Linked DNA regions of Pelodiscus sinensis. The protein of the gene in region 3 purifies or fractionates together with the protein of the main gene of each other region. This does not show direct contact. Links are inferred from orthologs where the notes say so. Each region holds a gene or a part of one and is shown on either strand. Other genes may lie near its edges.

Evidence for each region.
Region 1: the proteins of PCNA (region 3) and CDK4 purify together in Homo sapiens (affinity purification with western blotting; 5 studies listed by BioGRID and IntAct, with this or other methods). This does not show direct contact. The link is inferred for Pelodiscus sinensis from reciprocal best matches to the Homo sapiens genes PCNA and CDK4.
Region 2: the proteins of PCNA (region 3) and RPA1 purify together in Homo sapiens (affinity purification with western blotting; 7 studies listed by BioGRID, with this or other methods). This does not show direct contact. The link is inferred for Pelodiscus sinensis from reciprocal best matches to the Homo sapiens genes PCNA and RPA1.

What each region holds. Positions count from the first base shown.
Region 1 is NC_134729.1:2,456,727-2,460,468, forward strand, and holds the start of CDK4 (cyclin-dependent kinase 4), read left to right. Parts: upstream 1-792; 5' UTR 793-938; intron 939-1,429; 5' UTR 1,430-1,445; coding exon 1,446-1,663; intron 1,664-3,205; coding exon 3,206-3,341; intron 3,342-3,521; coding exon 3,522-3,689; intron 3,690-3,742.
Region 2 is NC_134731.1:875,275-879,016, forward strand, and holds the start of RPA1 (replication protein A 70 kDa DNA-binding subunit), read right to left. Parts: upstream 2,666-3,742; 5' UTR 2,633-2,665; coding exon 2,429-2,632; intron 1,436-2,428; coding exon 1,388-1,435; intron 805-1,387; coding exon 726-804; intron 1-725. Other genes in the region: protein-lysine N-methyltransferase SMYD4, read left to right, coding at 2,666-2,799, 3,489-3,633. UniProt on the Homo sapiens protein: As part of the heterotrimeric replication protein A complex (RPA/RP-A), binds and stabilizes single-stranded DNA intermediates that form during DNA replication or upon DNA stress.
Region 3 is NC_134738.1:703,624-707,365, forward strand, and holds the start of PCNA (proliferating cell nuclear antigen), read right to left. Parts: upstream 2,573-3,742; 5' UTR 2,477-2,572; coding exon 2,256-2,476; intron 1,771-2,255; coding exon 1,673-1,770; intron 1-1,672. UniProt on the Homo sapiens protein: Auxiliary protein of DNA polymerase delta and epsilon, is involved in the control of eukaryotic DNA replication by increasing the polymerase's processibility during elongation of the leading strand.

The DNA.
Region 1 (3,742 bases), on a different chromosome or scaffold from region 3:
AGGAGATCTGCTGACTGAATCCCGGAGCCGGGATGGCCCAGAAGGAAAGACGACCAGGCAGCGACGGGTCCAGGTGGCAAAGGAATTTGTGGCTCCCAAGAGGCTGAGAGAAGGAAGCAAAGTCTGCCCCCCCCCTCCCCGCCCCAAGGCAGCAGGGCCGAGCGACGCCTGCTTGCGATGCCAGAGGCTGGCACCGGGCGTAGCCCGCGCGTGTGTGTCCAGCCCAGTGGAGATCCACGACTGGGATTCCCAGGGGCTACGGCAATCGGTCCTCTCTTCCAGGCGGCGGGCGCCCCCAGAGGATAACAGTTCACTATTGCTGCCGGCAATGCGGCGGTCCGTGTCCCCGAGAGGGCTCAGGGTTCAAGCCCGGGGGGGGGGGGGGCGGGTTACACCAGACAGGCCGGTCCCCAGGAGGGTTTTGCTGCTGCCTTGGGGACCAGTGAGATGGGGGGGGGGGCGGAAGCACCTCCGAGCTGCCCACGACAGGCCTGGGGGGGGGGCTGGGCCCCTTCAGACCGAGCTCAGGCCCCGCGGGCGAGTCGGACCCTGCCCCCCCCAGGTCCCAGGGAGGGGGCTGCGCGGGGGGGGGCCCTTGAGGGACAGAGCGCACGGCCAGCGGCCCGGCTGGCAGCAGTGGTAGGGCCGTTACCCGGGCCCAGCGGGGGGGGCTCAGCCTCTGCCCCCCCCAGCCAAGGGACCCCCCCTCTAGGGGCACCCCCCCAGTTAGGGACCCTCCCCCCCGAGCCAGGGGACCCCCCCCCCGCCAGAACTCCCCCCCCCCCCGGGAGCGAGGGGGGAGGGGCCGGGGGGGGGGCTTCCCCAGGGCCCTTCCGGCCGGCCCGTCTCGCTGGTTCCGGTCCTCCGGCCCCGCCCCCGCCCGGGCCCCGCCGCCGACACCCGCGGCCCCGGCCCCGACGCTGCGCTGCCGCCTCGGGGTGAGTCCGCGCGGCCCCCCCCCCCCCACAGCTCCCCCCGCCCCGAGCCCCGCCCCCGAGACCCCCCCAGTGCACGCGGGGGGGGGGTCTCCCCTGGGATCCCCGGGGCCGCCCCGCCTCGTCCCCTCCCCCTCGGCACGTGGTGGGGGGGCCCTTTGCTCCCCGAGCCCCCCCCCCGCCCGGCGGGGCTGGACCTGCGCCCGCGTGGCCAGGTGGGGGGGGCTGTTATTGTAGGGTCGCCCCGGGGGGCGGGGCCGTGGTCGCTGCTGCAGGGGGCGGCGTGGAGGTCGTGGGGCGCTGGGCGTGTGTGGGGTCCCCCCGGGCTCGGCCTGCTGGAGCGTTGGGGGGCGCGGTGGAAGGGCCCCCCTTTATCCTGAGCCCCCTGCGGTGTCTGAGTGGGGGGGTCTGGCCGTGGGGTGCAGGGGGACCCCTGGGTCGTCCCTTCCCCCTCCGCCGGCGCCTGCCTAACCCGCCGCCCTTTCCCCCCGCAGCCGGCGCGGTGCCAGGATGGCGAAGGAGATGCGGGCGCAGTACGAGCCGGTGGCGGAAATCGGCGTCGGCGCCTACGGCACCGTCTACAAGGCCCGGGACCTGCAGAGTGGCAAGTTCGTGGCCCTCAAGAACGTGCGGGTGCAGACCAACGAGAACGGGCTGCCGCTGTCCACCGTGCGCGAGGTGGCGCTGCTCAAGCGCCTGGAGCACTTCGACCACCCCAACATCGTCCGGTGAGGGGCTGGGGGCGCCCTGCCCGCCGGGGAGCCAGCGGAGACCTGGGGGGGGGGAGAGGAATTTGCACGGGGTGACCGGTCACATGGGCCACTTAGCTTGCACTGACGGGCGTTCGTTTTGGGGGACCCAGCGCCCCCTTCCCGCTGGGCTGTGCGAGAAGGGGGCCCAGTATCCCATGGGGAGCTCCCTCGGGGTGGGTAGGATGGGAGAGGGGATTTGGGGGTGAGAGTGGGAGGGAGGGAGCGGGGACGGTGGTCTTCGATCCGGGGGGCTGTGTAGGAGCCCAGCTCTGCCTAGGGGGGGCCAGCTCTGCGGGGGGGGGGGGCCCTGCTTGTGACGCCGTTCACGGGACAGCACCCTGGCCTGCTCTCTGGTGCCTGGCTTCCTGGAGGAGCCGATCCCTGTTGCTCCTTTTTCCAGCTCTGGGAAACATGCGGCTTCCTTCCCCGCCAGCCAGGCTGCGACGGGACCAGGGAGGGAGAGCGGCCGGGCTGGGCCCTGCGAGGGCTGGCTGGCGGGTTTCCCCTGGCAGAGGATGTCAGTCCCCTCCCTTCCGAGGGGCCCGCCTGCGCCGGAGGGGGCGGGGGAGGCCCCAGAGCTGCTGGGAGCCTCCCCGGCCTTGGCCCCCGCCTTTGGGCCTGTTCCATGCGCCTCTCGCTGCCAGCCAGTTCCACCTCGCCGAGGGTCTGACGCCGGCTCTCCAGACGCGGGGGTGCAGGGGGGGAGGTCGCTGGTGGGTGGGGTCTCCATCCCCCTCCCCCCCCAGACACTCAGCGGTAAACAGCCATTTTAGGGGAGGTGCTAAAAATCCAGCCTCAGCAGCGGGCCCTTGGGGCAGAGGGTGGGGGCAGGGCAGGGCTGGGGAGGGCGTGCTTTGGGGGCCTGGAGGCAGGGGGTGCATCGGGGTTGGCAGGAGCTATTTAAGCGTTGTCCTGCTGCCTGGTGGCTTCCTATGGTGAGTGGGCCTAGTGCAGCCGCTCCCCTCCCGCCCCCGGGTTTTCCTCGGAGAGGGGGGCTCTGTTGCCTTCGGCGCGAGGGCTCCCCCGCAGAGGAGCCTGTGGGGCCGGCACGTTCTGCCGGCCCAGCCCTGAGCGACCCCACGAGACAGCCCGCCCCCTCCCCAGCTCTACAGACATTGCCCAGCCTGGCCGGGAGTCCCCTCGGGGGGCGCAGGGGGGGAAGGATCTGGTGTCCTGTGCTGATTAGTGGGGCCAGGGACGGGCTGATTGAATTAGCCCGCTGAGTCTGGAACGCCGTGGGGCTACCTGGCTGCAGCGTCTGCCGCTGCACAATCGGCTGCAGCTCCCTTGTTCTGGGCTTTGGTGCTGGGGGCTCAGGAAGTCTGGCCCCACATCACGAGCTTGGGACGCAGGAGGGGCCTGAGCCCTGTTCCATCCCTCTAGACAGGCCCTGGTCTGTCCCTCTGTTGAGCCAGATCTTGGGGTTCCTGGGAGGGGGGCGCCAGCTCCCTGCCTGGCCCCTCCCTTCCGCACTCGGGCCCCCGGCCCCCACCAACGCCCTGCTCTGCCGCCCGGCAGGTTGATGGACGTGTGCGCGACCGCCCGGGCGGAGCGGGAGACCAAGGTGACCCTGGTCTTCGAGCACGTGGACCAGGACCTGAAGACGTATCTGGACAAGGCGCCGGCCCCTGGCTTGCCAGCGGAGAAGATAAAGGTACGAGGGAAACTGAGGCCTGCCCCACGGCTCCCGCCCCAGGAATGTTGCAGAGAGCGGGGCTCTCACGACAGGGTTGGCCTCAGCGGCCGGGGAGGACTCTGCCCCCCCGAGGCTCCTTCCTGTTCTGTGGCCCCAAATCTGACCCTATTCCCCCCCCACCCCACCCCGCGTGGCCAGGAGCTGATGCGCCAGTTCCTGAGCGGCCTGGACTTCCTGCACTCGAATTGCATCGTGCATCGCGACCTGAAGCCGGAGAACATCCTGGTGACCAGCAGCGGGCAAGTGAAGCTGGCGGACTTCGGCCTGGCCCGGATCTACAGCTGCCAGATGGCCCTGACCCCCGTGGTGAGCCCCCAGCTCCGGCCTGTGTGCGCCCGGCGGGGCGTTCTGCCTCTCAC
Region 2 (3,742 bases), on a different chromosome or scaffold from region 3:
TGTGTGATTTGACAAGTAAATTCCCAAGCTGTTTGCTGTATTACATTTTGCTGAAAAAAAAATTCTCTTAGCTAATCCTTATAGCTTGTTTTTAATTAGTTAACCAGGATTAGAATCTGTCATTCAAGTATACAATATAGAAAGCTACAGTAAAAGAAATCTAGAGTTGCCAGTTGCCACTGACTGTCATTTTCTTATCAGATATTACAAAATACATGCCTCTCATTTTGGAACATCATGGTCCAGATCATAATTACCTATTTTTCTTCAGCATAACTTATCTTTTCCAAGAGAACCCCAGAGGGGCCAGTGAGTTCAATCCGGGCTTACTCCAAAATTTGGGGTTTACTCCAAAATTAAGTGCACTCTAAGCACATTAAATCTAAGCTTCTTTGATAACTTGATTTAAATTCATGACTCAAATCACCTTGATTTAAATCAATCCACCCAGACCACCATTATTAAGATAGTCGCTAATCACCATTCCATAGAATTGAGCTGTTCTCTATAATAAACAAATTCTTGGACACACTGCAACAACTCAGAAAAGCTGGAGTTTATTTATAAGATAAAATACAGTTACAGATTCCAACATCAAAATAAATTCTATACCATTCACATTCTGGAACTCAGTTCAGCAGCAAATACCACTGTCATTAATTCTGACCATTGGGTCTAATTATTAGCCATGTACTTGTAAATTCTTGTGACAATGCATAACTTACAGGAGAGTGTGTTCACCCCATCGCTCATCAGCACACGGTAACGAGGTGGCCCATTTCCTGTGGCGATGGCTCGGATGTTCTAGAAGGAAAAACTTGAATTCTTAGCCCTGATCTGATTTTACAGGCATACATTAGAAACAACGAAGAGCTGACACCTGTTCTGGAGAGCTTACTCATAAAACAGAAAACTAAGATAGATGACATTCAATTAAAGCCTCTCTCAGACTGACTAAAACATGCTTGTGCAGATTCATGCCAATGAGCCTTTCAAGTACAAGTTGCTAGTACTGGTCTACTCACCTACAAGACTTTCACTTCTTTGGCAGCTCAAACGGAGCTAGAAGTGGTGGGGAGGGAGGGGAAGGAGCCTGCCACTTCCAGCCCTGCACAAGGCTGCTGCTTCCACCCCTTGTGATGCTGCAGATTCCCAGCCTGCGAGCCCAGATTGGGAGCTGACAGCCAAGAGCGGGGTTGGAAGTCTCAGCCCACAGTGCAGGGTCCTCTCCAGCTCACCCACTTCTGTCAAATCATTTAACCAGTTAAACTTAATGGTTGCCAGGTTAGGTACCTTGTCTTTATGGATTTGTAAAACGGCACATACACTTACAAGTACATTAAGCTACAGGTCACACGAGTAAGAGGACATTTGAAGGAATACTCACAATGACTTGGAGAACAGGTCTTAAATTATTCTCTCCCTGCATTATGGCCTGTAAAGGAAGATAGAGGATTTAATCCTTTTGATTGGAAATGATTTTCTTTAAACTTTGTAACCAGGGAGATTAGCAAATAAATAACTAGACTAATTATAATAAACGGCTCCCAAAGTGCTAAATCAAACGTAGATAGTATGCCAGCAATGTGAACATCCTGAAAAGTTCTGTTCACTGTAGAAGGAATCACACTGCTGGTACAAGGAAAAGGGCAAGACTATGTGCTGAGAGACGTGTTTCACCTAAGAAATCCCTGGACTTTATGGGAAGTAACAGGCCAAGTTGCTAGTTCATCATTTCTCACACAGTAGCCTGTTGAGCCCTTTCAGGCAGTCTATGGAGATGCTGAAAGTAGTTCTACTTCCTACAGACTGTAACTTATTCAAGGACTTCAGAATTCTCTCTGGCACACCCCAACATTGCCCCCCCCCCGGGGTGCTCCGGAGACAGCTGGGGGAGGGGAGATTAGTCACAGTCCTCAGCAGCCTGCGCTCCCCTCCCCGCTCCACGGGGCCAACAGGACGGACTCCCCCAGTCCACACCGGCCCGGGGACTGTCCCCCTCGTCTCAGCGCATGGTGCACCCCGCAACCCCGCCCATCCCGGGGGGGGGGCCCCCCCGCAACCCCGCCCATCCCGGGGGGGGCCCGCAACCCCGCCCATCCCGGGGGGGGGCCGGCCCGCACCCCCGCCCATCCCGGGGGGGGGCCCCCCCGCACCCCCGCCCATCCCGGGGGGGCCCCCCCGCACCCCCGCCCATCCCGGGGGGGGGCCCCCCGCAACCCCGCCCCGCCCCCGCCCATCCCGGGGGGGGGCCCGCAACCCCGCCCATCCCGGGGGGGGGCCCCCCGCAACCCCGCCCCGCCCCCGCCCATCCCGGGGGGGCGCCCCGCCCTCGCCCATCCCGGGGGGGGGCCCCGCAACCCCCACCCATTGCACGGGCACCCCGAAACCTCGCCCCGCCCCGCCCCGCGCACTAGCCCCCCCTCACCGCGATGGCCCCTTCGCTCAGGCGCGCGCTCATGCTGCGCCACAGGCTCCGGCTCCGCGCGCTGCCGCCAAATGCTCCCGCCGCAGCCCGCTCGGCCGCCGCGTCACCGCGCACGCTCCGCACGCACCACGTCAGCCGCGCGGCTCCCCCATTGGCTGGCGCGCGTACGGCGGAAGGGAGCCTCTGGGGTGCGGGCGCCGCCATTGCAGCAGCTGCCGGGGGAGCCTCGCGCCGCCCATGGAGCTGCCCGCGGAGGCCTGGCGGGCCCATGCTCGGGGGCGGTGGGGCTCGCTGGCCCCGGCCCTGCGGGAGGCGCTGTGCGAGGCCGCGCCGCTGCGGGACACCTTCCGGCTCTGCGCGCCCCTGCTGCGGTGAGCGCCCCGGGGAGCAGCCCCCCGCTCCCCCCGCCGGCCCCGGGGAGCGCCCCCCCCGCTCCCCCCCCCCGCCGGCCCCGGGGAGCAGCCCCCCCCTCCCCCCGCCGGCCCCGGGGAGCAGCCCCCCTCCCCCCCGCCGGCCCCCCCTCCCCCCGCCGGCCCCGGGGAGCAGCCCCCCCTCCCCCCGCCGGCCCCGGGGAGCAGCCCCCCTCCCCCCGCCGGCCCCCCCTCCCCCCGCCGGCCCCGGGGAGCAGCCCCCCTCCCCCCGCCGGCCCCCCCCTCCCCCCCGCCGGCCCCGGGGAGCAGCCCCCCTCCCCCCGCCGGCCCCCCCCTCCCCCCGCCGGCCCCGGGGAGCAGCCCCCCTCCCCCCGCCGGCCCCCCGCTCCCCCCGCCGGCCCCGGGGAGCAGCCCCCCCCGCTCCCGCTCCCCCCGCCGGCCCCGGGGAGCGGCCCCCCCCTCCCCCCGCCGGCCCCGGGGAGCGGCCCCCCCCCTCCCCCCGCCGGCCCCGGGGAGCGGCCCCCCCCCTCCCCCCGCCGGCCCCGGGGAGCGGCCCCCCCCCTCCCCCCGCCGGCCCCGGGGAGCGGCCCCCCCCTCCCCCCGCCGGCCCCGGGGAGCGGCCCCTCCTCCCGCTCCCTCGCTCTCCCCCCCGCCGGCCCCCCCGACCCGACTCTTCTCCCGCCCCCCAGGCCAGCGGACGAGGCGGTGCTGCGGAGCCTGGCGGCCCGGGTCGGGGTCGGGAAGGACCCACGCGCCGCCCGCTTCTACAAGCAGGAGGGGACCCAGCGCTTCCAGGGCCGGGACTACGCGGCTGCGGCCGGGCTCTACAGCAAGGTGTGCGGCGGGTCTGGTGGCGGCTCGGCTGTGGCTGCGCTGGGCAGGTTTGGCCACCGAGTGCTGTCACATGCAGACTTGTAACACGTTTTCTGGCCCTCCCGTTGGC
Region 3 (3,742 bases):
CCCCTTCTCCCTCCAATGCCCTGCACAGCACGCAGGAGGCTCCAAAGGGGCAGGCAGCTCCAAGACAGAGGGCAGGAGCAGTGTGACAGTGGGTGGAGGGGCAACTAAAGTGCCAGTACTTGATAGCTTCCTGGCCAAACCAGTCAGGATTACCTGTTAGAGGCTCCAAGATCTATCCATAGATCCTGATCTACTGATTGAAACCAAATTTCTTTGATAAAATGCTTTGAAGAACAGACCCATCTAGAGATAGTTGTAATTAAGATACATTATAGCTCAAAGATCTCATCATGGAATAATGATTATACATTTTAATATTATAGTATGAGAATATATAAATGTAATGGTTAAGAAAAGTTTTGTAAATGAGTTCCAATAGTTCCTGAATTAGGGACCCAATCTAAGGGTGTTCCAGAGACGTATGCATAGATTTTAGGTTATCTTCCTATCTACCCAATAGGACTCAGTGATCAGTCTAGAACAGGCCTGGGCAAAATACAACCCGCCAAGCCACCAGATCTGGCCCATGGAGGTGGTGGGGAGCCCCAAGCAGGCTCTCTTGCTTGCTGCTCAGAAAACACAGCTGTGGGGTGTTTCCTCTTTGCATCTGGAGGGAAGATTCAGAGGCTGCTCCCACCCCCAGCACAATCTTATTTGCCAGTTTCTAGAGAGAAACTGGCCAGCGGGAGTTGCTTGTTTGAACAACAGGCAGCTACCTTCCTGCTTGCTCGCTCAGGCACATGGCTGGCTTGTTTGGCTGCTAACTGGTAAGTCTCCTGGCCAGAACCTATCCCACATACATCCATACCCCCTTCTCCCAGGCTATGTCTACACTATAGTCTTTTCGGAAAAACAGCAGTTTAAAAAAAACCAACTTCACTTGCACCCACACACCAATTGTGTTTTCAAAAGAGATCAGGAGGGGTTTTTCCAACATTGGTAAAGCCTCTTTCCACAAGAAGCCTTTTTTCTGAACGAGCTCTCCAGAAAAAGGCGTGTACAGACAGGGAAGAGGCAGTTTTCAAAAGAAGAGGAAAAAGCACAGGTGCCCTGGTGGCCACTCTGTCTATAAGTCACAGCTTAAATGCAAGATAGCATCCAGTGCAAGATAACATACAATCAATGAGGTCATATCCCCAAATCCTATACCCCAGTTCCTTCCCTAGGTCATAACTCCCTCCCAGACTGCATTCTCCCTTCTGCACCCAACCTCCATTCCAGACCTCACACCTCCTCCATGGAAGAGTGCAGCCCTCAACCACTTTCCAAAATCTTAGAATGAATCCTGTATAAAAAATGATGGGCCATCCCTGGTCTAGAAGATACCATCCCAGATGCTTAGTTTTGCAATTCTCAAACTGTGGCTTTATCTCCAGAGATAGCATACTTGTTCACAGCAAGAATGTTTTTAAATAAATAGTATATAGAAATGAAACAAAACAGACCGCAGCCCTATTGTCCCTCTGCAAGTCTGTGAGCACAGAGTCAATCCCTTATCGCTCTCTAAAAGAGGCAAGTTTCAAAAAGTTCAATGAACAGAAAATTATTGGGAGCAGAATAGATCTGGACAAGGAGAGAAACATATGAAGGGAAATTGTCAGGCATTCCCATCTCAAGTAAATTACAGTAGCATTAATATGTTAATAAAAAAGAATGGGTTTGAGATATTTACTTGGTGCCTCAAATACCAGAGCCAGCGTATCAGCATTGTCCTCTGCTCTGAGCGTGATTATGTCTTCATTGCCAGCACACTTCAGTATTTTGGACATACTAAGAAAGAAAGAATTTGAAGGGATTTATTTGCAATACAGGGAGCTGCGTCCCAGCCACCCATTTCACACAGCGGCCCCCGGTGCAGGATTTCCACACGAGCCTGGGAAGGGAGATGAGCGCGAGTGACAGGGGAGCAGAGGAACAGCTCCAGGTGCTGCTGAACCTGCCCGCCCCCAGGCCACGACGCGGCGGTGGGGGGGGGGGAGGAGGAGAGCGCGCACGCTGACAAGCCGTAACTGGGCGCCATGGGGCGGACCCCACTAGCCACAGGCCCGTAGCCTCAGCGCCCCTCCCCCACGTGCAACTTTCCCGCCAGCGAGGCCGGGCGCAGCGCGCCAGCGCCGAAGTGACGTCACCTCCGCCGACAAGCCCGCGCGCGCGACAGAAAAGGCGCCAGACTGGCGGCCGACAGGAGGGGCTCGAGCCACCCCGGGCGCGGGGATGCCGCGCGCGCCCCGCCTCAGGGGCCGCAGCCCCGCTACCTGGCCAGGTTGACGCCCATGGCGATGTTGCGGTCGCAGCGGTAGGTGTCGAAGCCCTCGGAGCGCAGCGTGAGCTGCACCAGCGAGACGTGCGACGAGTCCATGCTCTGCAGGCTGATGCCGCCCGAGCCCAGGTCCCAGCAGGCCTCGGTGATCAGGTCCTTGAGCGCCTCCAGCACCCGCTTCAGCACCGAGCCCTGCACCAGCCGCGCCTCGAACATCCTGTCGCCGCGCTCAGCCGCTCCACAGAGACCCCCCGAGTGCCTCCACTGCGCGCCAACGGCCTCTTATAGCGCCGCTGCCCTCGCCTCCCGACCCCGCCCACTCGGCGCTCTCCACCAATCATACTCGAGTCACCGCCGGAAGCCCCGCCCTCAGGGCGCCTCGAACACCAATCAACGCCTCCATGATAACCGGTAGTCCTGCCCCTGAAGAAGGGCTCTCGGCTAATCCTAGAACAGCGGAAATCCCGCCCCATGCCTGTTGCTGGCCAATCATGACGTCGCCCTACGTCTCTTCATGAGCTAACACAAACATAGGAGCGTCGGCCCGTCGCTTACTGTATGCGATCAATCAACGCAGGGCTCTCACTGTCCGTACGCACGTGCCAATCACAGCGCTCCGCTCTTCTGTCCGCACAGCTTCGCCTTCCTCTGCTGGGGACCCAGCGTTCTGTGGGCAGTTGAGAAGGGATGGTGGGGGTGTCCAGGGCGCTGATAAGTGGAATGTGAGGACTCCCAAGATTCCCAGACAGAACACAGAGGACCCACGGGTTCTGTGGAAGTGGCTAGATGGAATGTTGGGTCCACCAATGTTCCACTGGCTTAGCTGGATGGAATGTGTGTGGAGAAGGTGGCTCTTCGTGCTGGGACGTTCAGGGAGTTGTAGGCCTTAGCCTGCTGGGTGGAACATCAGGGCTCTAGGTCCGTTGCAAATATGTATGTTTGCTGCTGAATGGAGCAGTGGGCTCCTGTGGGTTCTGGGATCCTGGTACATTCCTCGGGAGGTATAGGCTGTTACGAGGAAGCTGGGGCCCCAGGTTTATGTGGTGGCAATGAGTGGAATTTGCGGAGGCAGACTGGAATGTTGGGGTTCTGGAGTTCCATGAGCATCATGGGAAGGGCCAATGCGGAATACTGGAATTCTGAAGGTTCTATGGCAATGTGATGTTCCGATGGGCTGAATGACGATTTCCTGAAGGCTGCCAGCTGGGTTGTTGTATAGGTCAAGCTGTTGAGTTTGCCAACTTGCAACAATTTTGGTGGGTTATGTGGTGATGTAACTGATTTGTAGCCTCTGAGGATCTTTCCGGTATCCACAATGCTATACTCTGTAGCAGAGGTGGGCAAAAGCTGCTTTCCCTGCCCCCAGGCCAATTAGGACCTGGGAGTGAGGGAGCATGCAAAGCCTTCTCCACTCTGCCTCCACCCTGTGACCAGCGTGGTTCAAGATGGATGTTGAAAAACTGGAAAGGATTCAGAGAAGAC